4 linked regions of the Drosophila melanogaster genome follow. The protein of the gene in region 2 interacts with the protein of the main gene of each other region in a biochemical or structural test. Each region holds a gene or a part of one and is shown on either strand. Other genes may lie near its edges.

Evidence for each region.
Region 1: the proteins of gro (region 2) and hry form a complex in vitro, tested with the Drosophila melanogaster proteins (2 studies listed by BioGRID).
Region 3: the proteins of gro (region 2) and pan form a complex in vitro, tested with the Drosophila melanogaster proteins (one study listed by BioGRID).
Region 4: the proteins of gro (region 2) and Myc form a complex in vitro, tested with the Drosophila melanogaster proteins (one study listed by BioGRID).

The regions. Positions count from the first base shown.
Region 1 is NT_037436.4:8,672,925-8,680,712, forward strand, and holds hry (hairy), read left to right. Parts: upstream 1-2,834; 5' UTR 2,835-3,325; coding exon 3,326-3,424; intron 3,425-4,447; coding exon 4,448-4,543; intron 4,544-4,680; coding exon 4,681-5,499; 3' UTR 5,500-6,329; downstream 6,330-7,788. UniProt on the Drosophila melanogaster protein: Pair-rule protein that regulates embryonic segmentation and adult bristle patterning. Transcriptional repressor of genes that require a bHLH protein for their transcription (e.g. ftz).
Region 2 is NT_033777.3:26,039,329-26,049,171, reverse strand, and holds gro (groucho), read right to left. Parts: upstream 7,437-9,843; 5' UTR 7,271-7,436; intron 7,093-7,270; exon of another isoform or gene 6,908-7,092; intron 6,532-6,907; exon of another isoform or gene 6,360-6,531; intron 6,353-6,359; exon of another isoform or gene 6,269-6,352; intron 6,178-6,268; 5' UTR 5,829-6,177; coding exon 5,793-5,828; intron 5,658-5,792; coding exon 5,563-5,657; intron 4,863-5,562; coding exon 4,799-4,862; intron 4,729-4,798; coding exon 4,546-4,728; intron 4,169-4,545; coding exon 4,136-4,168; intron 3,704-4,135; coding exon 3,509-3,703; intron 3,444-3,508; coding exon 3,345-3,443; intron 2,637-3,344; coding exon 2,580-2,636; intron 2,440-2,579; coding exon 2,263-2,439; intron 2,199-2,262; coding exon 1,927-2,198; intron 1,677-1,926; coding exon 1,003-1,676; intron 937-1,002; coding exon 737-936; intron 675-736; coding exon 567-674; 3' UTR 273-566; downstream 1-272. Other genes in the region: E(spl)m8-HLH (enhancer of split m8, helix-loop-helix), read right to left, coding at 8,309-8,848. UniProt on the Drosophila melanogaster protein: Transcriptional corepressor that regulates transcription when recruited to specific target DNA by hairy-related bHLH proteins. Maternally required for neurogenesis; in the segregation of the neuroectoderm. Directly or indirectly interacts with Notch and Delta.
Region 3 is NC_004353.4:87,543-94,436, reverse strand, and holds the start of pan (pangolin), read right to left. Parts: upstream 4,083-6,894; 5' UTR 3,224-4,082; coding exon 1,164-3,223; intron 15-1,163; coding exon 1-14. UniProt on the Drosophila melanogaster protein: Segment polarity protein. Functions together with arm to transduce the Wingless (Wg) signal in embryos and in developing adult tissues.
Region 4 is NC_004354.4:3,370,085-3,376,706, forward strand, and holds the start of Myc (Myc), read left to right. Parts: upstream 1-3,074; 5' UTR 3,075-3,639; intron 3,640-4,855; exon of another isoform or gene 4,856-4,859; 5' UTR 4,860-4,921; coding exon 4,922-6,149; intron 6,150-6,622. UniProt on the Drosophila melanogaster protein: Participates in the regulation of gene transcription. Binds DNA in a non-specific manner, yet also specifically recognizes the core sequence CAC[GA]TG. Seems to activate the transcription of growth-related genes; required for cellular proliferation and growth.

The sequences.
Region 1 (7,788 bases), on a different chromosome or scaffold from region 2:
GCATGTTCTCTCTTTCTCTCCCTGTTTGCCCCACTCTCGGGCTTAACAGTTGCTCCCCTACCCCCACCAAGTACTGTTATTTTCAGTTACATGCTGCTGTTGCCGACCTACTAAGTTAAAAGCGGCGCGTGGGGGTTTCTGTCGCTGTTAAACTCGCAACGTTGCTGTTAAAAGAGCCCTACGATCAACAGTATACATAGTATAGTATATATAGTATAGTTTATGGATACTATATATAAATAATATCAACATAGTTAGTATCTAAGATAAGATTTTCTGTATATTTTAAACTTAATAGTCAAAACTATATGGTATTTTGAGTCTAGTGAATAACCATTTTGAATGATAATGGCACACAAATTGAATTCATTGATCTTATAAAATACAAGCAAATAATAATACCTATAATATTATACATATGCTATAATGTTATTATCAACGCCTTTACGATTATTAAATAGTTAACCAACATGGTCCAAAATGATTCGAAATACCTTCAAGGGGTTCTTTATCGTACCACCAACGTGTTTGTTTTGTTTTCAGTGATCAGGGCTCCCGGGGCTTATGGGGAATCTGGGGGATCTGGCGCTGTCTAATTTTAGACGCAATTAGCAATGCGCACATTTTTGTGTGCTTGCGCCTTTTCGACTATAAATTTTTGCCACAGTTTATTTTAGAAGCTGCATGTGATCGGGTCCGCCAACAACAACAATGGGGCGTCAAATTGGGCGTTCAACGCACAAACAACTGCGAGTGTATCTGTATCTGTGACTGTATCTTTAGCGTTGTATCCGTGAGATACATCCACACCTTTGGCTGTTTTTGGCCAGCTAGCATGATGTAAAACGCCGCCAACGTTTTCCGACCTCTCGTTTTTTTTTCTTTTTTGTTTATTTTCTTTTTTGCTTTTCGTTGCAATTAAATTGGCATGCACAAGTGCCGCCTCTGCCGCCGACAACGCCTCTGCCGACGCTGACCGCGGGCGGGCCGCCTTTTGATCGGCTGCCAAATTGTAATTGGAACGCGAAGGTGTTGTCGACGTCCGCCACTACCGTCTATATATATATGTATCCATATTGTTGGGGCATGTGTTCTCGGCATAACAACCTTCTCTGGCGACCACAAAACGCACAACACTTTAGACAACCGTCAAAAATGTCAGAAATTCCCCAAACTTTTTGAGTATTTTCACGAATCGATAGATATGCATATTTGTAAGACGTGATTGTTGATTAAGTTCAATTTCATTTAATTATTAAGCAGAAATTAAGTGTAGTAAAATCAAATTAACTTCTAAACGTTTTTTTACTCATCTTCATTAGAGTCAACTTTATTAGTTTCTATAAAAACACTGCCAGGTGGTTTCGCTATAAAAAAAATATTGTAAACACCCGTTTTTAGCCAACTTGAATGTTTAAAGCCTGACTGACTCATTCCAATGTAACTTTGTTGACGATTCGTGGTTTTGGTATAACTTCACTAATCAGTGGTCAGAGTCCAAGTCAGGCTTTAAAAATATTTCCCAAGAACAAACGTCAAAGATAACGTAATTTCCTTTTATAGATCGTGTAACCTAAATATGTGTCATCTACCTTTACTGAGCTCAGCCTGGTTAAACTAATTACATGGTTATTACCATTTCTTAAAACTTAACCCATATTTTGTAAATAATAGATGGCTTAAGCAGTTATTTAAAATATCACTTTCGGTTGTAACGAAATGTGTGTGACGCACTTTGGCTTTTTACTACCAAATAAACAATATAATTTAAGCTTCATTTTCACTGTAATATTCCCAGTTTTCACTGCAATGCCCCTCTTCTCATTCTGCTAATGAATGGTTAGTTTTCTGATGCCCGACTATTCCGCGTGTCGCGTAATTATAGTCAACCTTCGATAAATCATTACTCCAAAACAAAACAACAAATAATATATGAAAAACGTGAAAATCCAACGCTGCACGTAGAAGCCATCAAGCTGAATCTAAGCGTCCGGCGGAGCACGTGTGATCCACGCAGCCTTGTCCACAGCGATTTCCATTTCATTTAGCCCGTTGGCGGCTATCGATCAAAAGCCAAAAGGGCGACCTTCACTTAATTGAGGCGTACGGCATGCTGAATGAGTCGGTTGTACAGACTGGTCTGGAAAATGCTAGGGGGATAACTATAGCCACCACCCACTGCCCGATCGCCCAACCACCCAACCACCCAACCACCCACTTCCGCCTAGCGTGCGCACAACCTTGTGATCTTGTTTACTGTTTAGCGACCCCCGAGCCGCAGATACACAGTACACAGCACAAAAAACCGAACCTGTCGCACTGGGGTGGCGTCATATAGCCAGCTATTTTCACCTTCTATGGGACGTCGTCGCGTTGGCCGCATGAATCAGCAAACCACGAACGGCGAGCCACCAGAAACCACCGCAGAAGCAGCAACAACACCAACACCACCGCGACCATCACCAACAGCACAGCCAGAAACACAGCCTCTTGTGAATCCCTCAGTTAGCAGAGCCCAGCAGAGTCAAGCCAAACCGATCGCTGATCGACCGACCGACCGACGATCACCAATGGGGGTTTCGCAGTGTGATTTCCAAAAAGGAAGAAATGCCCATTCCCGCGAGCCACGGGGGCGTATGAGTAACGCGGTGTGTACTTTAGGTACCGCTCACAAGCGTGAGCACGCACACACACACACACACACTGAAGCGAGCAGGTAGCGCATAATGTATACCCCTAGGTAGCCGCAATGCCAGTGCAATTGTATTGGTGCGGTCGTGTGGCTCGCGCTCGCGTCTCGCAGCGGCGATTTAGCCTACGAACCTGTCGATCAATCGTCAGTCTTCCGCCGAGAGCCCAGCGATAAGGTAGTCCCGCTACGCTCCGCAACATCCAGACGCAGTAAAGCAAATACTTATATATATATATACATACATATATATAGCGCAACCATCCGAAAGCCGAACGATCGATCTTCTGCTTCGTGCCGAGTCGTTTCGGTCTTTTAATCGCACTGCAGCCAGAACCTGCTGCTCATTCGCCTGCCGTATTTCGTAGCGTGCGGTTCTATCGCTCCGCTTTGATAAACCGAATCGAAATCTAGAGAACCCCCCCAGACACAATACCATTTTACGTGCTTCTCTGCGACGCTGCGCGAAAGTGAAACCACCAAGTGAACTTGAAAAAAAAAAAAACTGACAACTTGAGTTATTCTAAAAAAAGCAAAAAAGCAGTGAACTTATATTGCAAAGAGCAGCAAATTCAGATTTGCTGCCAAGTGAAAACCAAACTGTGCCTCAAACTCAACAAACAATATCTGACCGAAATGGTTACCGGCGTAACAGCAGCCAACATGACCAACGTTCTGGGCACCGCCGTTGTGCCGGCCCAGCTCAAGGAGACGCCGCTCAAAAGTGACCGTCGGGTAAGTTTCTTTCGAGAAAAATAAGACTCGAAAAAAAAAATCCAAAGCCAAAAACAAAAAACCCCGTCAATGGATTAAATCAGAACCTCTAGTTCCCCGAAATCTGTGGATTAACTGAAGCGAACCAAACCGAGAATTCCCCTAATTGAGAGCCACCCACTTCGAGCTCAAGTTGATTTCCATTCGCGACTGTGGGCGACTGGCCCCATCAATCCCGCTGCCCAAATGCATTTCCTTTTTAGCCATCTCCCACATGGCTGGCTGGGAATAAAAATACGAAAAAAGAAAAACACTCTGAGCCAGACCAAAAAAAGGCCGCAACTGCCGTCGGCGCGCCAACACAAAGCGAATTTATCTCGCGTCGCGTTGGTGGCATTTACTATATGGCATATGGCATACTACTCCGACTACACACACGCTCCATCCATTCATGAGTGCCGCCCAAAATTGGCTGGCGTAGCTGCCCACCAGCTCCCCAGATTCGGACTCGGATTCGGATTTGGCTGCCACTTGGCGCGTGCGTCGCGTGGTGGCTGCAATTGTCGGTCATCAGCCGCCGTTTTTGGCCATTCGAACGGCACCGGTTCAATGAGTTGGCCAGAAAAAAAAAAACTGACTTCATGCGAGTCCAAATTTGGCAACTTGTGCTCCCTAGATAATAATGTACCTAGTTATGGCATCTTCGAATTTCCCGCTCTGACCTTGTCACATTCTCTTTATTTTTGCTCATACCTGGTTGGTTTATTTATAGCCACTGCCTGTAATTTATAACCGCCAAACTATTTTTAAATAAATGCCTCGGCCGAGTGGCGCTATAAATAGAGCACGCGCCGTGCGACTAAATTTGGCCGCCAGCCAGTCAATCCGCTCCCCAACCTACGCCGCCTCCTCCTTGATCTCCTCCAATCCAATTGAAGACCCATGCAGCTTCCTCTATTTTTGGGTCGTTGCATGAGGTCAAATTAGCCGTGCAAAAGCCGTGACTAATCGATGTTTTTTTTTTCCATTTCTTGCCTCTTGCAGTCGAACAAGCCCATCATGGAGAAACGCCGACGTGCCCGTATTAACAACTGTCTCAATGAACTCAAGACTCTGATTCTGGATGCCACCAAAAAAGACGTAAGTATCTGACAAAAATATAAGTTTAAAGCCACAAATAAAATAAAAAAAACTACATATTTGAAATTATCTCAAATATTTTTTAAAAGTTTAAATCATTGACTAATTTCCAAATTATTTTCTCTCTCTACTTTTAGCCGGCTCGCCACTCCAAATTGGAAAAGGCCGACATTCTGGAGAAGACAGTAAAGCATCTGCAGGAGCTGCAGCGCCAGCAGGCAGCCATGCAGCAGGCCGCCGATCCCAAGATTGTGAACAAATTCAAGGCCGGATTCGCCGACTGTGTGAACGAGGTTAGCCGCTTTCCCGGCATCGAGCCCGCCCAGCGTCGTCGCCTGCTACAGCACCTGAGCAACTGCATCAATGGCGTTAAGACAGAGCTGCACCAGCAGCAGCGCCAGCAGCAACAGCAGTCCATCCACGCCCAGATGCTGCCCTCGCCGCCCAGCTCGCCGGAGCAGGATAGCCAGCAGGGAGCAGCGGCACCCTACCTCTTTGGTATCCAGCAGACGGCCAGCGGTTACTTTCTGCCCAATGGCATGCAGGTGATCCCCACCAAGCTGCCCAACGGTAGCATTGCCCTCGTGTTGCCCCAGAGCCTGCCCCAGCAGCAGCAGCAACAGTTGCTGCAGCACCAACAGCAGCAGCAGCAACTCGCCGTCGCAGCAGCAGCAGCGGCCGCAGCAGCAGCACAACAGCAACCCATGTTGGTCAGCATGCCCCAGCGTACAGCCAGCACCGGATCCGCCAGCTCGCACTCCTCCGCCGGATACGAGTCGGCGCCCGGAAGCAGCAGCAGCTGTAGCTACGCCCCGCCCAGTCCGGCCAACTCTAGCTACGAGCCCATGGACATCAAGCCATCGGTCATCCAGCGCGTGCCAATGGAGCAGCAGCCCCTGTCGCTGGTGATCAAGAAGCAGATCAAGGAGGAGGAGCAGCCCTGGCGGCCCTGGTAGAGGGTGTCTGCATATGCATATCATATAGCATAGCCACCCCTATCGAATCTCCCGCTTTTAAGACTGACCCCCCACAACTCATCCAACTCGCACACATGCGCAGGCGTTGTGCGCATGCGCGTAGACATTTCACATCATTCGCCGGGATTGCGCAAATGTTGCTTTGAAGTGTTGCAAACATGCGAATCCTAAACTCGGTTCACAACTTCGTTGGCTTAGTTTCCTGGCTTATATCCTGGAAACCCGTCGACGAGGCTAAGGACCTTCATCAGACGCACCCACACACAAACACACACACGCAAACGTTGTTATAATTTATTTATTATTATATTATGTAATCGATTTGAGAGAACGGTATTCTACCAGGACATCGCCAAACTACCTCAGTCCAAGTACTTGGTGTTGAATTGCCTCATGTATCATGTATTACTCTTTGAATAACAGCAAATCAGCAAAAGTCTTCCAAACACAGAAAATGAAAATGCGAAAATAAGCACCTGAAAAGCTGAAATACTTTTTATGAAAAAGATAAACGCAAAAGCATAACTCTTACACATAGTCGTACATCTCCATTTAAGTATAGGTTTTGTACCATAGCCAGCTAAGCCGCTTAGGGTTTCTCTCGCTCTTAAGTCTAATCAAAGAATAATTATATTTATAAAACACACAAATCTATTCGTAAGGCCACGTGATATAGTGAACATAATGAGCTTCTAAGAAAACAAAACAAGAATTTGATGCAAGCAAAAGCAAAAAAATCAACAAGAAAGAAAAAACAAACAAACAACACACTAAAAAGAAATAAATTTAAAAGATTCTACTAAAAAATCAAATACGCAAAACGGATTTGTTATTGTGGTTGGGGTATCTTTTCCTGGGTTTTTTTTTCATTCGGGTGAAAGTCCCATTATGGTTCTTTTTTTTGTTTTAGAGGTCAAACGCTTTGAGTGACAGGAAACTTATCGAGCCCCCCGACTTATCGTAGCAAATTTCGACGCTAATTATTATAATGCCAATGGTGAAATTCATTTTGCTGGAGAGGATCGGCGGGGATTTCGACGATAATACAACTACGTTTTAAGGGGCTCGATTATGTCCGTTTCTGCTAATATAATCGGCACGACGAGTTGAAGGTTTTTCTGTGGCCAGACCGTAACGGATATAGATATATGTGCATCATAAACATTATATAGGAATGCCTTGATTTTCACACATCCGTTCGATAGGCCAGTAATTCGAAACAGTTGTGACGAAATAAATACTTATTATAATCCTTTGATCGATAATATTTTAAAATATTTTGCAATTTAATCATTGGTTATTCCAATCGAAGTGATCAGCAAAAGTTAAGGCGCACAAGGGTATATTTTAAAATCAAGGCAGGTTAGCTCTGATTGCAATAAATCCGAAATTCCATTAGCTAACGATTCAGCAAAATACCGAATTTCTTAGGGATATGGAATGTCAAGAAGTTGGCCACTATAGCCGCAGGAAAGTCGATCCGGTTCGCGTTAGTTGGAACTAAATCGGATATCGCCATGGATCATGGATGACCGATAGCTACGGATACATTTGGAAATTCCCTGGAACTAACCACTCGAATCCAGTGATATATACAAGTTTATCAACCATTAGGGAAATCTCTTACCCAGTAGCAACCGAGTCACGCCCTTCAATTCTCATAGTGCCCCCACTCTAATCTAAGCAAATCCCTGGGCCATTAATCGTCATGCTCGTGACAAAAGTTTCCGCGAAGTCTGCGGAAAAAATACCGCATCATGCTGATAATATGAGTGCGATAAAGCGGATAAGTGAATAAAATTGTTTTCCATTTGCTGGTGAATCAAGTGCAGAGAGCCACATTCACTTGCTCATCACGGCGTGCCTGCCACTCCCTTGCTGCAGTGCGTCTGTATCTGGGCCTAGTCTCGTTCGCCGTATGACTGGATCAGTATTCACTCGCTAACTATTCACAAAACTAACTCGTGCAGCCTCAAAGTCCAGGGGAAAATTCTCGTAAAAGCTAAGTAAAGATTGCACACAGTCGTTCAGATGTCGCATGTTCTGGAATCTAAGCAATACACTGGAAATACGCTTCGAGAAAAGTCCGATTGGGTGGTTTGGTGGTTGGGTGGTTGCATGACCAGGCTTTTGCCCCACTGAACCGAAAGTGCACTTGATTAGTCACTATGGGGGACGACCGACTTTCGGCCCATCAATGAGGATTACTCATCGTGGCTCGTCTAGCTCGAAATAGCATCGAAAATTTTGCCAGCATGTCTGCTAATT
Region 2 (9,843 bases):
ACTCGCATCGTATTTGTATTTAACTCCTTTTGTTCAGCTGGTAATCATAATCTCAACGCTCCTGCAATTGCAATGACTGACTAATTCCACTTATCCTCCTATTTGTTTTTATGTTAAGATGAACGTAGGTAGGTATCGCCGACTTTTTATGTTTCTGTTTCCGGTTTCATTTTGTTAATTTTACAACATACTCGTTTCTGTTGCTCGCATGCATTATCATTTTATTTCGCTCTGGTTCTCATTTTACTTGAATTCTTCTTTACTTGCAATTTGTGTGTTCAACTTGTTGGTTTGTTTTTATTTATTGGACTTAGCTTAGGCTTAGTAGCTACAAGTACGCTTAAAATTTTAGTTTTCCTTTTTCTTGTATATATATTATAGAATTTTCATTTTTGCTTCGCTTTTTGATGCGTTGCTACTGCCGCCTTTCTGCTTTTCTTTTTTTGTTTTACTGCCGATGCTGCTGCTGTTGTTTTTGTTGTTGTTATTTGCATGATTTCGAACATGTTGTAATAAAAACTATACGAGCTTATTACAAAATGAAAAAACTGCATGGTTTTGTGGATTTAATAAATAACTTCGTAGACAGTAGCCTTCTTATCGCCCGAACCCGTCACAATGTATTTGTCGTCAGTTGATATGTCGCAGCTAAGTACGGATGATGTTTCCTTCGACTGAAAAACGTCCAGTATTTTAATTGAGGATTTCCTTTAATATGATAAGGATGTGTGCTTACCTGGAATATGCTGGCACCGTAAGGTGTTCGCCATGCGTTAAGCAGGTTGTCTTTGCCGGTGGAAACGAACCATTTGCCGCAGGCGGCAAAGCGCAGCGACAGAACGCAGCTCTCGTGCAGATGCAGTTGATACTTGTCCGGTTTCGATGCGTGCAGCACCTCCACATGCGAGTTCTCCATACCCACAGCCAGCCAGTCGCCTAATGGATAATACAAATTATGTTATTTCTAGATGATTATATCTCGTAAGGAAGTCGTCATCATACCTGTGGGACAGTAGCCGAGCGAGAATATTTGAGAGCTGAAGTCGTGCTGTTGCAGCTGGCGACCCTCGCGCAGATCCCAGGAGCGCACCGTGTTGTCTAAGCCGCCCGTCCACAGCCTGGAGCCATCCGGACTGATGTCGATGCATGAAGCGCCGTCGGTATGGCCCTGGAACTGGCGCACCAGGATCTCGTTGTGCAGGTCCCACACAGCGATATTGCCGTCGCTGCAGCACGAGAAGCACACCTTCGAGTCAGGGCTAATGGCCAGAGCGTAGCAGGCGGGCGCCGCCGATGTTAGTTCCGCCTTTATGCGAGGCGTCGGACTGGCCAGATCCCAGATAGACAGGTTGGACGCCTCACCACCCACGATCAGCGTACGGCCGTCGGGCAGCAGCTTCACCGAGCGGATGTAGTTGTCGCGCTGCAGACAATCCAGCTGGCTAACTGGATTCTTGTTGCCCGGTTGCGAGATGTCCCATACCTTGACGCAGCCCTTGCCGCCCGTGTACACGTACTTTGTGGGATTAGAGATGGTTACCGCACAGACGACCTCTCCATGCGACAGCGTGTTGATCTGACGGGCGTGCCGCGGAATTCCAACACCCACCAACGCGTCCGGCGGGAACGGCACCGGTTGTAGACTACCCTCGCCGTTCATATGGAAAGAGTATGCACTGCAACGGCAAAATGTGTTTATTAATTAATGTAACCATTTAATTAGTGATAAGACGTTTAACGTTCGTAGAAATAGCGATATTATATACTCCTATCTGTGCCGATTCATACATTTATCATCTCCAATCGACTACATTGCACTTTGCATTTTAATCAGTTGCATTGAATTACTTTAAATACTTAATAACAATGCACGACAAAATTCCTATAGTCTACTTTTCGGACCGTAAATTGACATAAATGACTTACGGCTTTCCACCCGTTAGGGCCGAGGGATGTGGAATGCCATTGGTTCGCACATGGGCGTGCGGATCGTACGGCATTGGTGGCGGTCGTCCATAGGCTGGATCTGACGGTGGACGCTGGTAGGGATCGGCCGGCCTTTGATACGGTGCACCCGGATATCCGGCTGGCGGTGGTCCCTGCGGCATCATTTGTTTAGGATTAACGCCTGGCGCCGGAGCAGCGGCGTTCGGTGTCGGTGTGCGTGCCTTGGCGCCCGGTGTACCCGGCTTTTCCATCTAAATGAACGAGATTCAATTAGCTCTAACACTTTCTGGGTTCGACATTTGACATTTGGCTCACATCTTTTGTCTTGAGGCTGGGTGTGGAACGTGACGAACTGGAGCCGGAGCGTGAGGGCGGCCGTTCCTGCTTGATGCCACTACTGCTTGGCTTCTCCAGGCGCTCGCCATTCAAGCTTTCCCGATCGCGCACCTCCATAGACACGTGCTCGCCGTTGGGACGCGGTGAGTGGGATTCCTGCAAGGCACATGTATGCATTAAGTACTGTTTTTGCATTTGATGATAAATGTAATAGCAAAGGTGTGGTTTTTGTTTCTTTTTTTTTTTGGGGAAATTTGGGAGTGGTTGCATTGAATCTGGGCCGACACTCAACTCACCATTTCATTTGCAACATCTACGACTAAATCTTGATCGCTTTTCTCGCCTTCATCCTCCTGGAAATAATTTTGAAAAAAACACAAAAACAATATAAATCAAAATTCATACAAAAACCCACAACGAACAACAGCAATAACAACAACCACAATAGAAATAGTTAGTATCTAAATTTTAGGCCCTGTTCTGGTTTTCACATCATTTTACATGGTTAACAATTTAAAAACGCAAACAAACCATGAAGTTACGATTAGTGTTCCTTTTTTAAGTAAGACAATAAAATCAAAGAAATAAAACTAGTTAAAAGCATAGAAAATGTATATAGTTTACACATGTTCCACACTACTATTAAAATTTATAATCTAAAACAAAGTAAACCAGTCATAATTATAAATCATCTCCAATTTACATTTACACATTAGCTTTACAATTTGTGGAATATTAGAAACAAAATTCTATAAGTTGAGATACACCTTAAACCAACTACTAGAAATTGAAAACCGGAACAGGCACCATTAGATCGTGATGTTTTTTTTGTCTCTTAAAAATTAGCAATTTAGGTTTTGTTTAGCATGATTTTGGGGTAGAGTGTTAGCAGAATTAGACAACAACAATGGGTAAACTACGGAATTGAGTTTCTGGTGAGTTGAGAGACAGCAACAGCTCAGATGAGATGACAGTAATCGGTTATGGCAATCACCATCAACGCGATGATCTATGATACTACAAGTGTATAATGCTAACACTGAAAAAAGCTCGATACTCACTTGCAGTTTCTCATCTTTTCGACGCTTCGAGTCGTTCTCGATGTCCAGCGGCGAGCGTGTGCGATACTTCTCACGATCGGCCGGCGAAACCGAATTGCGCTGCAAGATCAGCATGAAAATTAGCTTGAAATATGCAGAATTTTGATCTAGGGCGTGGTACTCACCAATCGCTCCTCGGCGGCTGCTGGCCCCTCTAGACCCGTCGGCTTGATGTCCGGCCTGTGGTGTTCGGGCGGTTTGTTCAGCAGACCTTGCGGTCCGTGTGGCAGGCCCATGGTGGCGCCCAGGGCGCCAAACGGATTCAGTGCGCCCATCGGCTGAGGTGGTCCACCTGGCACCTGCTGGGCGTGGATCTGTTGCTGCAATGGAACCATGAGATCGTATGAAATCGGGCGTGCGCGTTGCTGGCTTTCGGAATAATGAACATCGTGCTTAGTGGGAATATGAAAGCATTGAAATGTGTGTACATATGTGTGTAAACACAACAACGACATTAACACTAAATGGTATTTGCCATATTTTTATTTTGTATCAAAATTTAATTTATTTATCTTTCGATTCATAAGCATAAGCAAAGACCATCTGGGGTTAATGGAAACAGCAACAACAATTGGCGGCATTTGAAGCGTTATTCAAATAATATAAACGTTGACAATCAGAAAAGGAAGAGGAGGTAGTGAGGCACTGGAGCTGTTGTTGTAGTTGTGGCAGTGGCACATTCGGCGGATGCAGCGGCAGACGGCAACAGTAAACAAACAATAAGAAATTAACTTGCAACGAAACAAACTTACTAAAAGTTGCTGAATTCCATGTTGCTGCTGATGCTGCACAACGTTGTTTGGATTGGATTGGTCGAATGCGAAATCATAACAAATTAGGAAGTAGAAAAACAAACTCAAATCAAATGCGGCCCAAGGAACAAACTAAACCGAAACGAAGTTCCCACTTAACGGTTGCCACATTTATGATATGTACTGTTTCATATATACGTTAGATTTCTTATTTTTTATACAATTTTCAAGATATTTGTTATTCTTTGAAAGACTGTATTACAAAGTACCCGGCAAACTAAATTTCTCTGCCTTTTCGGTGTGGCAACCGAATTTCCAATCGGCCATGCCCCCATTAGTGTCTATCTGAGAATGGCTGAAACCGTATTGCTGCTGCCGCAGAATCCATCATCCGTCCTCGATCGACTTACCCCAATGATCAGGTTGAGCTCCTGCATGGTCACCTGCTTCGCCCGCTCCACCGCCTGCAGCACTTGCTGCTGGTGGTCGGCCTGAAGGAATGGAAGTAGCTGGTTGATCAGTGTGTTCAGCCGCTTGGCGATCTCGGTCTGCTTGTGCATCTCCACGTTAAGGCCATAGGACATCTCGTAGTACTGAAAGTTGGAAGGCAAGCCGTGGCATTAGCTAAGGGATCTCGATAATTTGCGGATCATGACGACTTACCATAACATAATGGCGCTGCATCTCCGTCTTCTCGTTCGACAGCTTCTCGCACTCCAATTTAATGCTGGAATTCACAGGAAAAGTGATCAACGGGCAAATTAGTTGGACGACGGAAGCGAACTGAATTCAAGAACGCAAGGAAGCGGCGATTGTGGAGCATGGAGCATTGAGTTGCGGCTGGGGCGGCGCAGGTTAATCCTATGACAGCGGCGCATATGGCGCGCCAAACCGGTTTGCTCAGCTTTTTGTTTTACTTTTCGCAAAACGCAGACGCAGCATCCATCCACACTCACACTCGCACACTTCCATACGATGGCGGTTAAGGCTAAGGCTTAAAATGTGATTTCTTTGGGGCATGTTATTGTAAAGGCTTCTAATAGGTTTAACCTCAACTTAATTATTGGGGCCTAATCTCTAATTGCGTATTGCTTAACCCATGAAAACTATGCCATTGGATTATTTGAAAGTGTGAAGAATTTTACTTTTATCTGACATAAATTTGCGATCATAGCAATTTTAGTGGGCCAATAGTTCTTAGGGCCAATATTCAATGTAGTTTTTTCTTGACATAGCAATTACAAAGATGACATTTGCAGAGAGTGTCATTATGATGGCAAATATTTCCTTGCAAATCTTTATAGTAAAGATTTGCCTTGTATTCACAATTATAATGATAAACCTTGTATATCCCTTGTAAATATGATTCGCGTAATGTTTACATATGTAAACATTGCCGTGTATAGAGTATTCCACCGGATACTTGCCTGTGGTACTGCGCCTGCAGGAAGTTGAACTCCTCCTTGATGCGTTCCAGTGTATCGGCGATGGTGAACTTGATTGGACCCTGAGGTGGTGGTCCCTATTTAGATGTGAATAGAGGTGGTTGGTGTTCCGTACGTGGGCGGCACATGGCGCGGCGTGGTGGAAAGAGACATAAACACAATTAGCACGGATTCGGGGGTCAGAGGTGGGACCCACTGTCGGGTGAACTTACCCCGGCGGCGGGGTGGCGCACCGGTGAGGGATACATGTTGTTAGGCTGGTATGTTGCCGGCTAGAGCAAGAGCGATAGTTCCGAGGTGGACACCGATTTGCCGGAGCGGAAGTCCTGCTGCTCCTCCTGCTGCGTACGCCGCTTCCTTCCTTCCGGTTATCCCTGAGCACTCCACTCCTGCACAGAAACTCCTTGCAAAACGTGGACTAATATCTATCTGTTTGCCAGCGTTTTATGGTACTTGTTTTTTAGCTATTCTTTTTCTTCTGTTTTTTTTTTTAATAATATTTTTCGATGGCAGTTGATCCGCTTTATTAGTATTCCCACAAACGGAACCGGCACTTAGTGGCACTCCATGTCCGGGCTACTTCGCATTTTGCATATCCTGCGAATGGAATTTTACAACAACATATTTGCTTAGTTATGCTTTTTCATATTTTTGCACCATTTTTTTCGATACGTTCGCACGCACGTACATACACGCACACACACAGGCGCGCTGAGCCAGCGAGACACACGCACACTAGCACAGGAAACGGGAGCGAGGGTACGAGTGTGAGTGTTTACCGCCGAAAAATCAAGCGCACAGTTGCATGTGGCCCATGAAATTGTTACGCAAAATCACTGTTTGATTTTCGGGGGCCGCTGGACGCACTAATCCGATTGTGCAGTTAACCGGGCGGGATTAATCCAATGAAAATAAAACACTTTTCTTTCGTAAAGGCAGCACACTCCGCACAAACAACATGCGAACATATACAGACAGACTGCAATTAAACAGGGTTGCCATGCCGTTTGAAACGCGCACAGCAGCAGAAACACAGTTTGCACATTACTTTGATGTTTATTGTTTGTTATTTTTCCGCTTATCCGCATATAATTCACTTGCTTGGCCCTTTTCAATATTTTTCAATTGTACAGCCAATATATTTTTTATGATTTGCCCTGGAGGCGGCAACTCTGTTCGGCGATACGGGCACATACATAGAAACCAGCGAGTGGCCAAATCACACACACACACTCACTCACACGCGCGCAGCGCAAAAGAAAAATTATACTGTGTCCTATACAAAAAATAAACAAAAGCAATTAAAAAAGCGAGATAATGGCAGTACCAGTTTTATGCCCCGGATTAGCACGCTTTATCGCAAGATGTTTCTATGTTTTGCACTTAAATCTCTGGTCCATTTTTTACAGTTTCTTCGTTTTCGCCACCGAAAAGTGGGAAAATTATTTTTTGTAACTTTTCGCCCGTATAAAATTGCCTGTTTCTGCCGACCGACCGCGAAGTGTCTAACATTCGTGTATGTGTTGGGCAGCTTTGGCGGCGGCGCTCTCTCGCTCTCTCACAGGCACACACACACGCAGCGGCTCTCTCTCCGGCTCTACTACACGCGCACTCGCTGTACAAACGCGGCTTGTAAATGGCGTTCTCGTCTCAAATATTTTTGCAACAATTTCGGCACGCCGATTTTCACCTCGGTAGCACTTGGTATCCTCGCCGATTGGGGCAGCTGGCAATTGGGTGGCTTTTGGGGCATCGGCACGGCCCGTTTCTATTTATAATTTCCTATTTTCCTATCCGCGACACACAGACCGCGTCGGTCTCAGGTATGCAATTTGCGCTATCGCCTATCGATGTGTCGAGGGTCTGTTATCGCGGGCCACTCGCTTCAGCGGCGCAGTGTTGCATGCGCCAGTGTTAGGAAGTGCCTGCGCTGAAATCGAACTAGTTACACTCTGCGAAATAATAATCCTAATGTTCAAAGAACTATTACGTATTAAATTATTTATTTACAAACACTACGGTTGCAGAACAACTAATTAAATAGATTCCATGCTAACACTCATTTTTTGCCATGATCTTGAAAAAAAAGTGAAAAAAGTTCCGCAATAAATACGTAACTTAGATCTGTACATGTTCTTCAGGTGCAGTTGGCGCGCTTTTTAAAAATGAATAAATAATTATTCAGTTTATTATTATTCAGTCTGATTTGCTATTTTCAATCTTGTGAACCGTTAAGGACATTACCGATTCAAAAAACTTAAAATTATCAGTGCTAGTTTTCTAAAACACTTTTATTTTAATTAAGTGAAATATATTTAATTTATTATTAAATAGATATAAATAAATAAATATAATTTATTTATATTTATAAATAAATATTTATTATTATAAAATAGATTTCACTTCGGTCATTGCCAAAATAGATTTCCATTGTCAGAGCAGAGATATATTATTTGATATTTCCTAATTGGTAATAATTTAATTACCAATAAGGATTCCAATTGCCACCAACTAAGGGATTGGTCCCTTAGATCCCCTCCCAACATCCCAATAAAGTAAATTGTTTTGATATTTGTTTAAATTGGTTTATATTTGTTTTGCTAATTGCTTTTTTAATTTTGCTATTTTGTTGCCATCACAGTTGGGCTATCACAGATGCGTTGTTGGTTGGTTCTTCCATTCCCATTGCCACTCCACCCTTACCTTCCTGCCACTTAACCCCTTGTTTTTACCAGGGGCGCCACAAGGGCTGCTGCATGGGCTGTGGCGAGGGGGCGGGGCTGTCGCAGTCGCTGTGATATCCGGAGGAGGCGGGGCTGAGCGGAGCCTTGTCCATTGAGGAGCAGTCCATCGAGTTCTGGATGAAGTCGGCGGCGGACTGTGCTTCGTGGAATTGCTGCAAGTTCTTGTAGACGCGTCCCAGGTGAGTCATCACCGATTTGCCCAGGTCGACGCTCATGCCAGGTGTGGAGGCCATGACACGTGACACCTCGTTGACGGCATTCATGTAGCCATTCTTAAAGCTGTCCAGGGGGAGGGATTGTTCTTCCTGAGCCACCTTCTTTGGTGTCTTTTGCTGGCGCATGAAGATCACCGCTGACTCGAGCATCTCGGCCTTGTCCATGCGCAGGATGCCATCATCACCTCGTAGCTCGGCGACAAGTGTTTTCAGGTTGTCCAGGCACTTGTTCATGCGGGCACGTCGCTGGCGCTCCAGCATTGGCTTCTTCACCTTCTGGTAGATCTGGGTCTTGGTGGTGTATTCCATTTTTGTTTTGGTAGTAGGTTACGTAGTTTTAAAAATTTTTGAAAAATTTTGTATTCGGCTTGTTGCTGCCTGCTCGACGGCGTAATCGTGAGTGATATTCTGCTCTGCGAGGTCCCGTCCTTTTATACCGCTCCCTGGTCCCTGAAATCCACCCTCTGATACGCACCTTTCCTGCCCTCTCTTTCGCTCGCACGGCTAAACGCCGGTGTTGTTGTCTTTTTCACAAGGAACAGCTGCAACTTCGTAGGACGGAGGACAATCCTTGTGGCTCGTGGCGTGGGAACCGAGCTGAAAGTAAGTTTCTCACACAATTTTTTCTCGTTTGTTTTCCCTTTTGGCCACATGCTTCGCTCCGCTCCGCTTCTCATTTTTTTTCGAGTATAAGGATCAGGGCACATTTTTGCAGCTGTCGCTGTTTTTGGCTGCTCGCATTGCTTTCTGGGCCGGTGTTATTATCCTTAATGCATACTTCACTGCCTCATCCTGTCGTGTTTGGAATGGGAACGTTCATATATGGGTACATGGGATCGAAGCATGATGAGCAGGGGCAGGGGATCCGAACTGCTTGTGCGTGGGCCGCTCTGGCATTGTTATCCTGCCGTGCCATCTACTCGCTTATTGTTTCATCAATGCCAGCAGACGATGATTGTATAAGCCCCTACTCCTGCTCCGACCTCCGAACTGCGAACTCTGAGATCTCCTCTTTCCGTTCCCACAGTGCCCCGTCGACGAGTGTTTATTGGACACAATTAGTGGATGTGGCATATTGGCTTCGTGCCGGGTCGCCTTGGTTGTTCGATCGTTCCATCGTTTGGGCTGTCTGATCTCGGGTTTTTGGGTGGTTGGCAGGGGGACGTGGGTCAAACGGGCGCAGAAAGTGTGCCCCGCGTGCCACACTCGTGGCCGAGGTTGAGTACTCAATGCCCAGGCTGAGGTGAGGTGGGCCTTGTGCCGGAATGTCTACCTATGGGATGCACATAGTTAACTTCCTGCAA
Region 3 (6,894 bases), on a different chromosome or scaffold from region 2:
TTGCTTCCAGGTTCCTAAAAGATAAAACAAAATGATAATTGTAATTCATTCTTCCCTGTGTTATAAAACTAAACAATGCGTTTTTAATCAATATTTTAAAAGTGCTTTGCTTGGTAGTTAATAACACATGGTTTACTTTAATCCGTTAAACATGGTATAAAACTTTTATTTTTTACAAAAATGTATATGTTATAAGTTACTAAATCTTTACATGCTTTTAACTACCCACGATAACTCAACACTCACTTTAAATACCTTTGTTTCTGAAAAAACTACGTTGACACTTATTTCCAAGAATGCTGAGAAGACATGCGGAAGTATACACTTGTAAAAATATACAATCTTCGTTTAGTAGTTCAGCTAACATAAAGGGAAAAGTATCGCTTTCTAACAATGGTTTGGAAAAGCTTGCATATGCTATTGTATAATGGCATTTTTTTTAATGAACAGAATACAATCTGTTATTCGTAACTCAGCTTAAAAGTGCGGGGAAGGTTGAAGGTTAACCACTACTCCTACTTGGCGGTTAAATTTATTGCACTCTGGGATGAGAAAAAATTAAAAGGGTTTCGGTCGTTAGAGTAAGTGAAATTCGCGACATTCATACGTGATCCTGATACAAATATGCTCTTCACTGAATTTAGTAAGACCATTTATTTTCCGCTCGATAATATATACGTTCATACGGAAAGAAAGACGGACAAACGGAAATGGTTATATAGACTCTGATTCAATCCTGCACAAGACGGTTCTTATATACTTTGGAAACGCTTCCTCCAGACTGTTAAATACTATGCAACAAAAATATAAAATATATACATATATTTAAATATATATATCACTTTTTAAATAAATTGGCAGTTATCAAAACCTTTCAAATATAAGCGTATAAGTATTGTAGAGCGGGAAAAATCAAAAGACTACACATTGAACATTCCACATAAACAGAAAAAAATGTTTTAAATAAAACAAAAAAAAAACTTTAAAAACTCGAAACCAATTTATTATAACTTACAACATTTTTTGTATAATTTACAACTACAGGCTGCTTGCAATAATCAACAGTTCATTAAAGAAAATAGGTACTATTAGGAGTGAGCATCGACTTCAACAGTTTTACAAAGAAATAAAGGGTTTAACCAAGTAAGGCGAAATAAAATTACATGTGTTTTGTCTTGCTTCCAATACTTAAGTCGTATGGGGCATCTATCATTGGAAAAATTTCAGTTTTCATTGATCCGGCATTTCCCTGTAAAGCGCATAGGCGCTCTTTAAACAGGTTAGTTATGGAAAGTTCCTGCGCTGTTAAAGATGCATTAGCCGAAGACAATGTCTTAGTAATTAAATGGGAAACATTTTCAGTTGGCAATGCTCTAATTGATGGCGACGTTTTCAGCTGATTAGTGATTTCGTTGTCAACATTTCCCCTTATTGCATTCGATTTAAAAGAATTTGTAGTCAGAGTTTCAATGTGCCTTGCAAGTCTTTGTTTTCTTCGGTTTTGACTTAGCCCGAAAATTCCAGAAACCATTCCAGTAGAGCATCCACTATTACTACCAGTCGATGGGGTTGAAGGTGCAGTAGAAAACTCAGGAACAAGTAGAGGATCGGTAACGATTGACTCAGCTGAACTTTCTCGATTGTAATTAAACACAATAGGCAATTGCGTTGTGACATTATAATTTTCTGTAACATCTGTTAAATTTGATGCAGATGTAAGCAAGCGAGAGGTTTCAATGTTAGAAGATGAAGACAATGAAGCATATTCTAAAATAATCTCAGCTGCAGTGCTACAAGGCTCTACGTCTTTTTTGTGGCGAAAGGTTTGCCTTGTCGAATGCCATATGCAAGTGGGTGCTGAATTTGATTCTTCGCAATCGCTTTTAACACTATCACTGTAGGATTCATGAGGGGTGCTAGCAGAGCTGGATTGATGCATATTAACAGATGATGCGAGTTGTAATATTATATCTTCTATTTCGACCAACGTTTTAGGTTTTGCTGAGGTCAAAAAAAAATCGGACTCACTTTCAACATCTGGAATCTTAGAGTGCACTGCATTTGTTTTCTGTGGCAAAATACTTTCATTAGACAGTGCTATAGCAGCTAATGCCATGATAGTATGTGTTGGTGTAGATGTATATTCACCATCTTCCTCTGATGGGAGTCCTAATCGTTGTAAGCTGCGAACATAATAGAGCTCAGCGCTGCTCCATTGATTATATAATCGTTTTACCTCTTCCAGTAAGTTTTCAATAGACTTGCGATTTCCATTTAGTTGTCGTCTTACACTTTCCTCAAGGGCTGAATTAGAGCCATTATTTACTTCAATGTGACTTTGACGTACACTTAACCTTTTCCTAAATTTACCTGAGCTATCTGAGAGATTATCTAGTTTTTTTTTAATGTCGATAAGAATGTTTTTTTGCTCCCTGATAAAATCACACGTGTGTTGTAAGTCGTACCCATCTAGGGCTTCCTTGTTCGATTTTAATTTTGGTGAGTAACAATTTTTGTCGTCTTGTTTATTTTTTTGTTCTGCTCTTTGATGAACGTTAGAAAATTCAAACAAAGGGGGATCTACACAACTTATGCTGTTTTCGATATCTTTAATTAACTTAATATTGTTATTATTATCCTGCGAAGATGGGGTTGACAGAAGCTCATCTTCTCGAAGCATGGTCTTTTTAGATCCCGAATAATGAACCATGTTGAATTTATTCGAATGAAATTCCCGTTCAGCTAGCTGAGACCGAAGAAGCCGAGCGTATAAAAGTTGTGTGGCCAAAAGCTGCTGCTGCGAGCATGGCTGCTGATTTAGCATACTATTCGTATATATACAAGAAAACATTTCATTTCGTTGGCGAAAACTGTCATTTTGCCAATTTTCTATTTCTTCAGCGGTTTGCCAAGGCTGAGAAATTAATTTATTCGGACTTAAAAGAAGTTCGGAAAACGATGCCTCCATTCCGTCTGATCTACTTGATGGTACAATACAAACTTTATCCAAATCATTGCAGTTATATTGTTCTATTTTGTTGGCAGTTAATTGCGTATATTGGTTATTGAACCCACCATCAGGGACCTGGCTCGTTTTCAAATTGATTGAACATTTTTTATCGTGCTTTTTTTGTAGATCCTCATTGCTCTTCTTTTTCTGGTAACTGATTAATTCGTTTGAGTTTAAATTAATTTCACTATTAGTTGTTCCACAGTGTGGCATTATCGGATTTTGTGGGAGCCTGCTGTTAAAATCCGTTCGGTGTTAGTCATTCGTTAACTTTTTGTTTTATATTTTATTTATATTATTTATTGGATAAATTGTATTTCAAAATTTTAAACATTTCTATTAACCTTTAGAATCTTAGTTCACCTTGATGACTCAAATTTAATTAAATTAGTACTTTTTCAAGCACCATTGTACAACTTTTCAACATTTCATACAGGGTTCGTTGTTTATAAAATTTTCTTGCAATATTAATGAGATTTAGATAGCGTAATATTTATGTTATAATCCAGAATCCATGCGTTGTTTTCATTTTTTTAATTATATAGAAATCTCATTTTAATTAACGTTACCCTGTTGCTCGACTGTTGCAATATGAGGTCGTAATTTTTTTTTGTTTTATTTGTTTGTTAATTGTAATTTCCACATTGTGTTAGAGGAAGCCACAATTGTTTTACTTATTTAGTTCACTGTTAATATGGTCAATAATCGGTTTATATACTATCTCCATTTATTCCGACATATTTATATTACTAAATCGATCAACACTATATTAGTATTATTATGGAAACAAAAGATGACATCCTATTTTTAAAACTTATATTTAATTTATAAATACACTTTATATGTAAACACTCGATTTCATCATACACTTCGTGTTATTATTCTACTTGTGTTCTAATGGACAAATCGAATAAAGATTATTTTTTTCATTTGTGTTCATAAATTGTTCTTTCCGGAAATTGTTCAACTATTTTTAGGCATTGATTCCTTTAGATAGATTTTTCGCAAAATTGTATATACTGCCACAACAATTGTCTGATTTACTCTCTTTCGGTCTTTAAAAATAAAACTTAACGATAAAGGTGTACGACGCGGAACAAGAGAGACAAGGACGAGCCATCGGCTCGAAAATAACTGCGTGAGAAACATTGCGCACAAACTTTGTATCGAGCACATGTTTGTAACGAATTTGTAAAAAAAAAGTAATAGATACTATTAAATTTGTTTTTTTTTTCATTCTTAATTCATTCTTAAGAAATAATAAAGTTGTTTAATCTGTATTTTAAAAATATGTACTTCTGTGTAATGTGAATTTTACTGCTGCGTAAATTTACATTTTTACAAGTAAAATCGCAAAATGATGTATTTTTACAAATATTTTACATGAAAATATTCATAGCATCCAATGTTGGTACGACTCTTTTCAAATTTGACTTTAATTTACATTTTTTCTATACGTAATTCCAGATTAAAAGTAACCCATTTTTTAATTTTATTCATATTTTGTGTATGTATGTTAAATTTTTTGGATTTTACCTGGCAACATAACACGTGCAAAACTCAAGTGCCTTCAGATATAGATGGCGCCATGTAATTTCAAATCATATCTACGAATATATATATTTATATATATATGTATGGGCTTCAACAACGGAATACAGTAAACTAAACAATATTATATTAAGCTTGAGTTAAATTTAAATTTTCTAGACCACCTTAACTTAAAGCAAATAATTTAACATTTTGATTTAAAAAATATTATCAAAATATTTTTTATAAATTAGTACTTGAAAATTACATTTTTCGAGGATATATATTAGAAATTTATTTATTCACTGAAAACGGTTGAAAAAATCGGTTGATTCTAAATTAAAGATGTGTAAAACTTCTTATCACTAATCTTAATTGGCCAATTCAACTGTTTACTTGCTCATAATTATGTTCGTTAGTATTAATATGTCTTCGAAGAAAGTTTATTTTCGGTTGTCAACAAAAAATATATTTGTATATATATATATAAATATTTTTCGCTTTTCACAAAGAAGTTTTTTAGACAAATAAAAAACCTACTTTAATACATTTTAAATCCATGCATTTTAAAAAAGGCCTCTAAAGTCCAGTGACTCGACCTAAGAAAAAAGCAAGAGAGAATGCTATAATCGAGTTCCCCGACTATCAGGTACCCGTTACTCAGCTAGTGTGAATGTGAAATTTCATAATTTTTCTGGGATGTCAATAGATATTGAGGAGTAAAATGAAAAAAAATTTTAAAATTGTTCCAAGGCGTGGGAGTGACTGGTTCGGCGGCTTTAGAGCGTTAAAGTGAGCGTGACAAAAATTGAAAATCGATAGAAATTTACAAGACTAATAAATCTAAATAAAATAAAAAAAATATCAACACGTTTTTCAAAAGTGTGGGCGTGGAAGTTTTGTGCGGCTTGTGGGCGTGGCAACATGAGTCAACAATGTGGCGCTGCGTCTTGGTCTCTAGGATCTGTACGGTGAATATCAACCTACTAGCTTTTATAGTAAACAACAATTAAAATAGAAGTATGCAACAGCTAGATGGAAGCCTTTACGATATATATTCTCTTAGTATATATATTTAGTATATATATACATTTAGAATAGATATATTTAGTATATATATATATATATTTAGTACATATATATTTAGTATATATATATTTACTATATATATATATTTACTATATATATATTTAGTATATATATATAGAATACATGTTCCTGATCACTAGCAGAGTAGTTCCGGGAACTAACAAACCTAGAAATGTTAGGTTTCGAAATCATAATAGTTACACTTTTTGTTGAAATTAACATATATATTTATATATATTTTATATTTAGGATATAATTTTTGCAAGGATACAAACAAATGTTACATTTTCAGAAAATATATCTCAACAAATTTTACAAATATGTGTTATGTACTCAAAGTTTAAAAAAGGCTGACGACAGAGGTTTAAAACCGTTATGGATGTTTTTAAAAAATTAATATTAATAATATTTAATAATTTCAAAATTGTATACAAACTAGGTAAAGAAACCGTGCCAAAAAACAGTAAAAACAACCTTTATCAGCACATATAGAATATTCCGTAGCTTGACCTTTTTAAAAACTGTAGTCGATCTTTTCCTACGAAACTTGCGTATTTTTTAAAAAGTAAGCTTAAGCAGTTGAATGAAATAAAAGCGAGATGATTAAAGTTAAGATTTAGTAGGAGAGACATGCACACACACTTTAGATTTAACGTTTCGATCAAGTTGGAATCGAACATTCTAAGTAGTATTTTAAGAACTACACATTGAAACTATGCAAGCGTATGTCGAAAATGAGAATGTTACAATGTTTTTCATCTTTGGGTGTGAACAATATTTTTTAAATAAAATAGGTAAGATTACATTTTTAGAAGTGAATATAATATAGAAGTGAAAATTTTGGGTAGTTGAGCCCAGAATCTTAAAAATGTCGTAAATGTCGTAAGTAAATGAAATACGAAATCAACTAAAAGACTATGATCCGATTTATGTCACTTCGCTCTTGATTTACATTTATTGCTTAAAGCATTTTCAGACAAAGGTAACAACGATGGAAAGAGCTTCACTCAAATTATATTTTAAGGCCTTATCTTAAAGTATAAAAGTAACTTGCTTAGGATGAGTTGTTTTCAGAAGGCAAATAAAATGTATAGCATAATATAATAAAAAAAAAACTGTACTTTATTTTTAAATTGTATATTAAAACAACATTATTTTTATGCTAGTTCAGTTTAAGTAACAAAAGTTTATGTACATTTTTGAAATTATAAGAGCCAGAACTTTAAAAGAAAGGGGTAATAAAATTCGAAATTCATTTTAGGGGT
Region 4 (6,622 bases), on a different chromosome or scaffold from region 2:
TTATGAACCTATGTACTTATTTAACATTTAACATTAGCATTTAAAAATGGAATAAATACTTACACATACATATTCTATACTTCGACTGTGCTAGCTATTTGTGCTAAAATACTCGAGTTCTTGACCTCCTCAAATAAATTATAATTGAAGGTTTGCTTATGCGTTATCTTCTAATACGATTGGCGTCTAAATAGATGGATGGCGCCAAAAAGGGAATGACAAATAACATACAATTGTACGTACATATATACACATATACATATACACGCATGTACGGTACACCTTGCAAACGTTGAGTTTCTATGAATATTTGAATGAATATTTTTAGTATTTATGTAATGACATGAATCCATCCATACAATCAAAATACCTGTAAAACTTTCCTTATTGCGTATTATAATAAAAGTACCTACAATTCGAAATAACACTTAAAGAGAGGGTGTGATTTTTCGTCGCCTTAGATTTGAACGTATTTTTACGTTTTTGTAGTAAAATACCAATACATGGGTAACGTGAAAAAAAATAAGAAGTCGAAGATAGCGACATTGTTGCAAAAGAAAGACTAGTGCGCAATGCAATTTACGATTATTCGCCTTATCAATGGAAGGCGATCGTTTCTGGCCTACGGTGAGCATAACTGCAACTGCAAGGCCCCGGCATTATCGCAAAACAATTACGCCGGGTACACCTGTCGACGCTGGCGTCAAAGTTACATTGTTGCTGCACGTGTAGACCGTTAAATGCCGAGTCAAATGCGCCTGCGAATGGGATGAACCTCATTCTAGTACTAGTACTATCAATACACTCAATAAGGTTGTGCATACAACGTAACCTGCTAATGCTAATATGTATGTATGTACATATGTATATTTATGTACTTACATTTCACTTTCCTGAGTTGCTCCATTCTTTCTATATTTTCGATGTTTCCCATAACTGCCGGTTTATTCGATTTACTGCCAATGCATTGCATTTTTACGGCCAATTTTTTGAAAGCTTGCAAATTCTTGACAAACTAGATATGGAAACTCGGCAGCCACTTGCTGCCGTTATTTACGCAGTTGTTTTATCTCGCCATGCACACTTTCCATTTACCCGCGAAACAAAAAAAAAGTGCAGAAAATAGTTTAATACTATTACAAAAACAAGCAGCACACGCAAACATAAATTGCGCAAACATCGAAACACAAGAAATATTACTTATTGAAATCGAGAACTTGGACGGACAAAAGCTCGCAAATTGCGGGACCATTTCTTTTTGTCTGTGACGCAGTTGTACCCTGTAAAAGTGGAGCATATCGCTTTTTGCCAACGAATGGCTGTTTGTATGCTTATGGATACTAAAGCGGAATGTTGGAAGGTGAATTTTATTGGGCTGTTTGTGATTTCCATTGACAGAAGAATTAAACAATTTTTTTTTTTTTTTAATATGTCGCTTGTACAAACAATTAATTAAATGTGCAAATTGCAGAGTAGTTGGGCGAGTGTGCAGCGTGCATTTTTTTTTTGCTGGTTCGCCTCGTTGCGAAATCAAAACAAAGCGTGTGAAAGAGAGGGCAGATGCACGCGCCAAAAGCGCTATGTTGTGCACTAAAAGTTGTGGAAATGAAAATCAAAGCGAAACGTAACAAAATCGACGGGGTGTAGAAAGCGGGAGGAACTTTGCGTCGGAACCACCTGATGATTTAATACTCTCTAAAAGGGGCAAAATTCAAAATGCAGGTCCTTTCAAGTCGATTTTTAAAGGTTGATATATGTGTACATATGTACATATTTGTGCGATAAACATATGTACACATGCACAAATCATTATTTGTATGTAGTACACATACTATGTACATTGTATTTTACAAACAGTTATTAAGAAGTTTGTTGGAATGTGCATACATACATATGTATGTATGTATGTAGAGACGTATGCTTGTGCATGTTATATTCTATTTTTCATTCAAGGTCCCCTTGCTTCCTATCCGCCTTTACCTTATTACCCTTTTCTACTTCTTCCACAACTTCTTCTTTCCAAAGTTGTAATATTTTTGGCTGGTTTCTATTCTTTTCCCTTTCTTTTTACATTTCCTTGGCATCGTTTAATTCGTTAACAAAATGTTTGGCTCTTCTTTTGTTTCTACCATGCGGCCTAACTTTTCTATTATTGTTAAATGAATTCTGCATTGTTTACAAAGTTCACAAGTTCAATCAACTTGACAAAACGGAAAATGAAGTTGCGTGGCAGACAAAGAGGTGACAAAGGCACACACGCACATAAAAAAAAGTACGGTAAATGCATGCATAGATAAAGGAAAGGGCAAGAAGGAAATACGAAAGAAATGTAAGGCGCCAAAGCAAGAGGGAATGAACAACTTCTCGCAACTTCTACGCAAAAAGGAATAGAGCTTAAAATAAATCGATTTAAAAATAGGAAACATTTATGCGGCAATGAAGAATCCCAAATAATGCCACAGAAAAGCAATTGAAACCTGTAGTTTTATGTCGATTAACATTAACATAAATAAATGCGTATATTTATAAATTTAATTTCTATATTTTAATATACATACCGTAAGTAAATTAAGGAAATGAATAAAATTTTGTTTTGATTTCCAGTCAACTACACATTTTCGTATTGCATTTATTTCACAAAAACATTTTGAGCCAGTTCAAGTTAATTGTTTATGTTTTTATTTACGGAGCAATTTGCGATTTGTCTCAATTTTGTTTGCGCTCAATTATTGTAAACACCACTCAAAAATCTCACTCTCTTTCACTCAAAAAAAAAATACCGGCAAACTGATGCTGTTATGTGAACCAGTGTGCGGGAGAGGCAAAGAAACATTGATCATTTTAAATGCATTGCGTACTATTTGAAAACCTTCGAGTATTAACAAATCGTGATGAATCCAAATGTGATCTAAATGTGATCCAAATGTCAAAGAAGATTTTTGTTGAAGCTCCTATTCTCACCACTTAAAGCGAATTCCAGCAAAGAGAGCAGCAGTGAGCATGCGCAGTGAGAGCGCAGAGAGCGCGGCAGTCTGGTACGATAGAAATTTTATTTAAGCCACAGACAACATGAAACGGGCACTATTTCTGTGGCGTCGCGTGTTCAGTTCACCGCGGGTAATTCAGAGAATCGCTTTGTGGATTGGATTTTTGCCTGTTTTCCGCCCGATACAAAAAAAAAAAACCAAACGCTATATAAATAGTTCTGTAGTAAAACCTGAAGCAACACGTTTTAAAATATACAACTACTACTAACAACTGTCACAGCCAAGTTACAAAAGTGCTAAATCCCAGAAATAACCTAAGAGCCGACTTAAAACCGCGCAAATACATAAAAAAAAATCTTCTCCAAAGCAGAAACAAAAACTTGTGAAAAACTAGAATTAAAAAAAGATTTTTTAAAAAAAATCAGCTAGTGCAAAATAAACGGGAAGAATTTTTTTTTGTGTCCCTTTTTTTGGTGTTTTTTCTCCGTCTTTCCCCTTCTTTGACGCAAAAAAAAAAGTGCCCAACTTGCTGGCGGCACGGGAACGGGATAGAAATAGATATAGCCGAAAGCGACTGGAAAGCAAAGGAAGCTAACTAAATTGGATTACAATCAATTAAATAGAGACGGATACGGAAACTATGTTCAGCGAGGTGAGTGCAAAGATATATATATATAATATATATTATTTATCGGAACGCAACGACTTCAAAAATCGCGCCACTACGGGGAATTCAAAATAGAATTTCTGGGAAAGGTGAAATAGCTTAACTTTTAACGGTGCTCTCACACACAATGACAAATCAGTGATCATGGCCGCACAAATCGATACGAAATAACGGATTCTAGGAACTCAGAAGGAATGTTAAGAATCAAGTGCTTACAAGAAATTAAGAACAAAAAGTGAGACAATAGAAAAGTGGAAGTGGACGAATTTTGCAAAACAAAATTCTACAAAGTTCTTTATTGTTTTGTGAAATTCTTCTTAATGCTGGCAAGTATTAAAAACGCTTTGATGGCGTTGAAACGAGTTGGTAATGTTCGAAAATTCCAGAACTCTGGGGCTCCAAAGTAATTAAATAAAATGGTCCCAAAATTTTTACGAAAGTATTAAACTTTTTAAAGGAGAAATAAATCAATTAATTAAAAAAAGAAATAAATTAGCTTGATAAATTAAAAAAGAAATAAATTAGCTTGATAAATTAAAAAAGAAATAAATTAGCTTAATAAATTTAAAAAGATTTAAATAATAATTTAATAAATGTTGATATTCCAATTTTACTATGATTCTGAAATTCAATATATACCGGGTTGCGTTCGATTCTGCGAAAGACATGTACTGTTAGTTTTTGCTCGTACTTGTTTACCGGAATGCAACGGATTCTACGAAAAGGGAAAAGCACAGTAAGCTTTGCAGGTCTGCGTTTATCGGTAAAAGGACCGTTTATTTTTCAGTAACTGGAATTGGGTATTTGATATTTGGTTTTCCTTTTATGCCCTTGTTTATTTCATTAGTATATGTATTTTTTTTTTTTTTTTGCTATTGTCAAGAGCGCCAAGATTGACGATTTCGGGTTCAAATGGTTAATAGTGTATAAATGAAGCTATAAGCTAAATTTGCTTTTGATAACATTTGCTGAACCCTCGACATCGCCTGACGTCATTATAGGTGAAATCTGGCACAGTAGAACGTGACTTAATACAATAATAATATTAGGAGTTTAGTTACTCTTACATTATAGTTGAAATGTTGCAAAAATCCTTATGTTGAAGAAGTTTTCAAAAAGTGTGTTGCCGACATATTTATTTAATTAAGTTCAAATATAGAATCATACCTACAACGATTTCCGCCTTATCTATATTTTTCAGACAGGCATATAACTCAGGAACTTAAGATATATAGAAAGAAAAAAAAACCCAGACAACATAATCGCAATGGCCCTTTACCGCTCTGATCCGTATTCCATAATGGACGACCAACTTTTTTCAAATATTTCAATATTCGATATGGATAATGATCTGTACGATATGGACAAACTCCTTTCGTCGTCCACCATTCAGAGTGATCTCGAGAAGATCGAGGACATGGAAAGTGTATTTCAAGACTATGACTTAGAGGAGGATATGAAGCCAGAGATCCGCAACATCGACTGCATGTGGCCGGCGATGTCCAGCTGTTTGACCAGCGGTAACGGTAATGGAATAGAGAGCGGAAACAGTGCAGCCTCGTCGTACAGCGAAACCGGTGCCGTATCCCTGGCGATGGTTTCCGGCTCTACGAATCTCTACAGCGCGTATCAACGATCGCAGACGACAGATAACACCCAGTCAAATCAACAGCATGTCGTCAACAGTGCCGAGAACATGCCGGTGATCATCAAGAAGGAGCTCGCAGATCTGGACTACACGGTCTGTCAGAAGCGCCTCCGTTTGAGCGGCGGTGACAAGAAGTCACAGATCCAGGACGAGGTCCATTTAATACCGCCCGGCGGAAGTTTGCTCCGCAAGCGGAACAACCAGGACATTATCCGCAAATCGGGCGAATTGAGCGGCAGCGATAGCATAAAATACCAGAGACCAGACACACCTCACAGTCTTACCGACGAGGTGGCCGCCTCAGAGTTTAGACATAACGTCGACTTGCGTGCCTGCGTGATGGGCAGCAATAATATCTCGCTGACCGGCAATGATAGCGATGTCAACTACATTAAGCAAATCAGCAGGGAGCTTCAGAATACCGGCAAGGATCCGTTGCCGGTGCGTTACATCCCGCCGATCAACGATGTCCTCGATGTGCTCAACCAGCATTCCAATTCGACGGGTGGCCAACAGCAGTTGAACCAACAGCAACTGGACGAGCAACAACAGGCCATCGATATAGCCACTGGACGCAACACAGTGGATTCTCCGCCGACGACCGGCTCTGATAGTGACTCCGATGACGGTGAACCCCTCAACTTTGACCTGCGCCATCATCGCACTAGCAAAAGCGGCAGCAATGCCAGCATCACCACCAACAACAACAACAGCAACAACAAAAACAACAAATTGAAGAACAACAGCAACGGCATGCTGCACATGATGCACATCACCGATCACAGCTACACGCGCTGCAACGATATGGTGGACGATGGTCCCAATTTGGAGACCCCCTCAGATTCCGGTGAGTCAAATTTATATACTTTTCATATGCCCCATTTTCATCAATATTGGAAGCTTAAAGTCCGAATGTCTTACAAGAAATACAAAATGGTCTGGTCGTTGGATGCATGGCAAAACAGTAGAGATTAGTTAGATCCCTGGGGATGCATTAAAATTTAGTTTACGCCTGAGTCAGTCTAAAACGCCTACCAAAAGTGGCATACTAATTACAACGTCGTGGGGCGGCCGATTAGTTTACAACCGGCCACATGACCCCCCGCCCGCCCGCACATTCATCCATCCTTTGGGTGTTGCACATTCAACTAGTGTTCGCACTTCCGTTTCGTGTGGGTGCAGAGTAACGCCCAAACGCACAAGTACGCTGTATACCATAGGCAACCGGAAAATCGATTGGCGGAAAACGCCTACGTCAACAGCAAACGTAGTAAACTTGTTACGTTGCACAAAAAAAAAAAAACAATAAAAAAGAGAAGA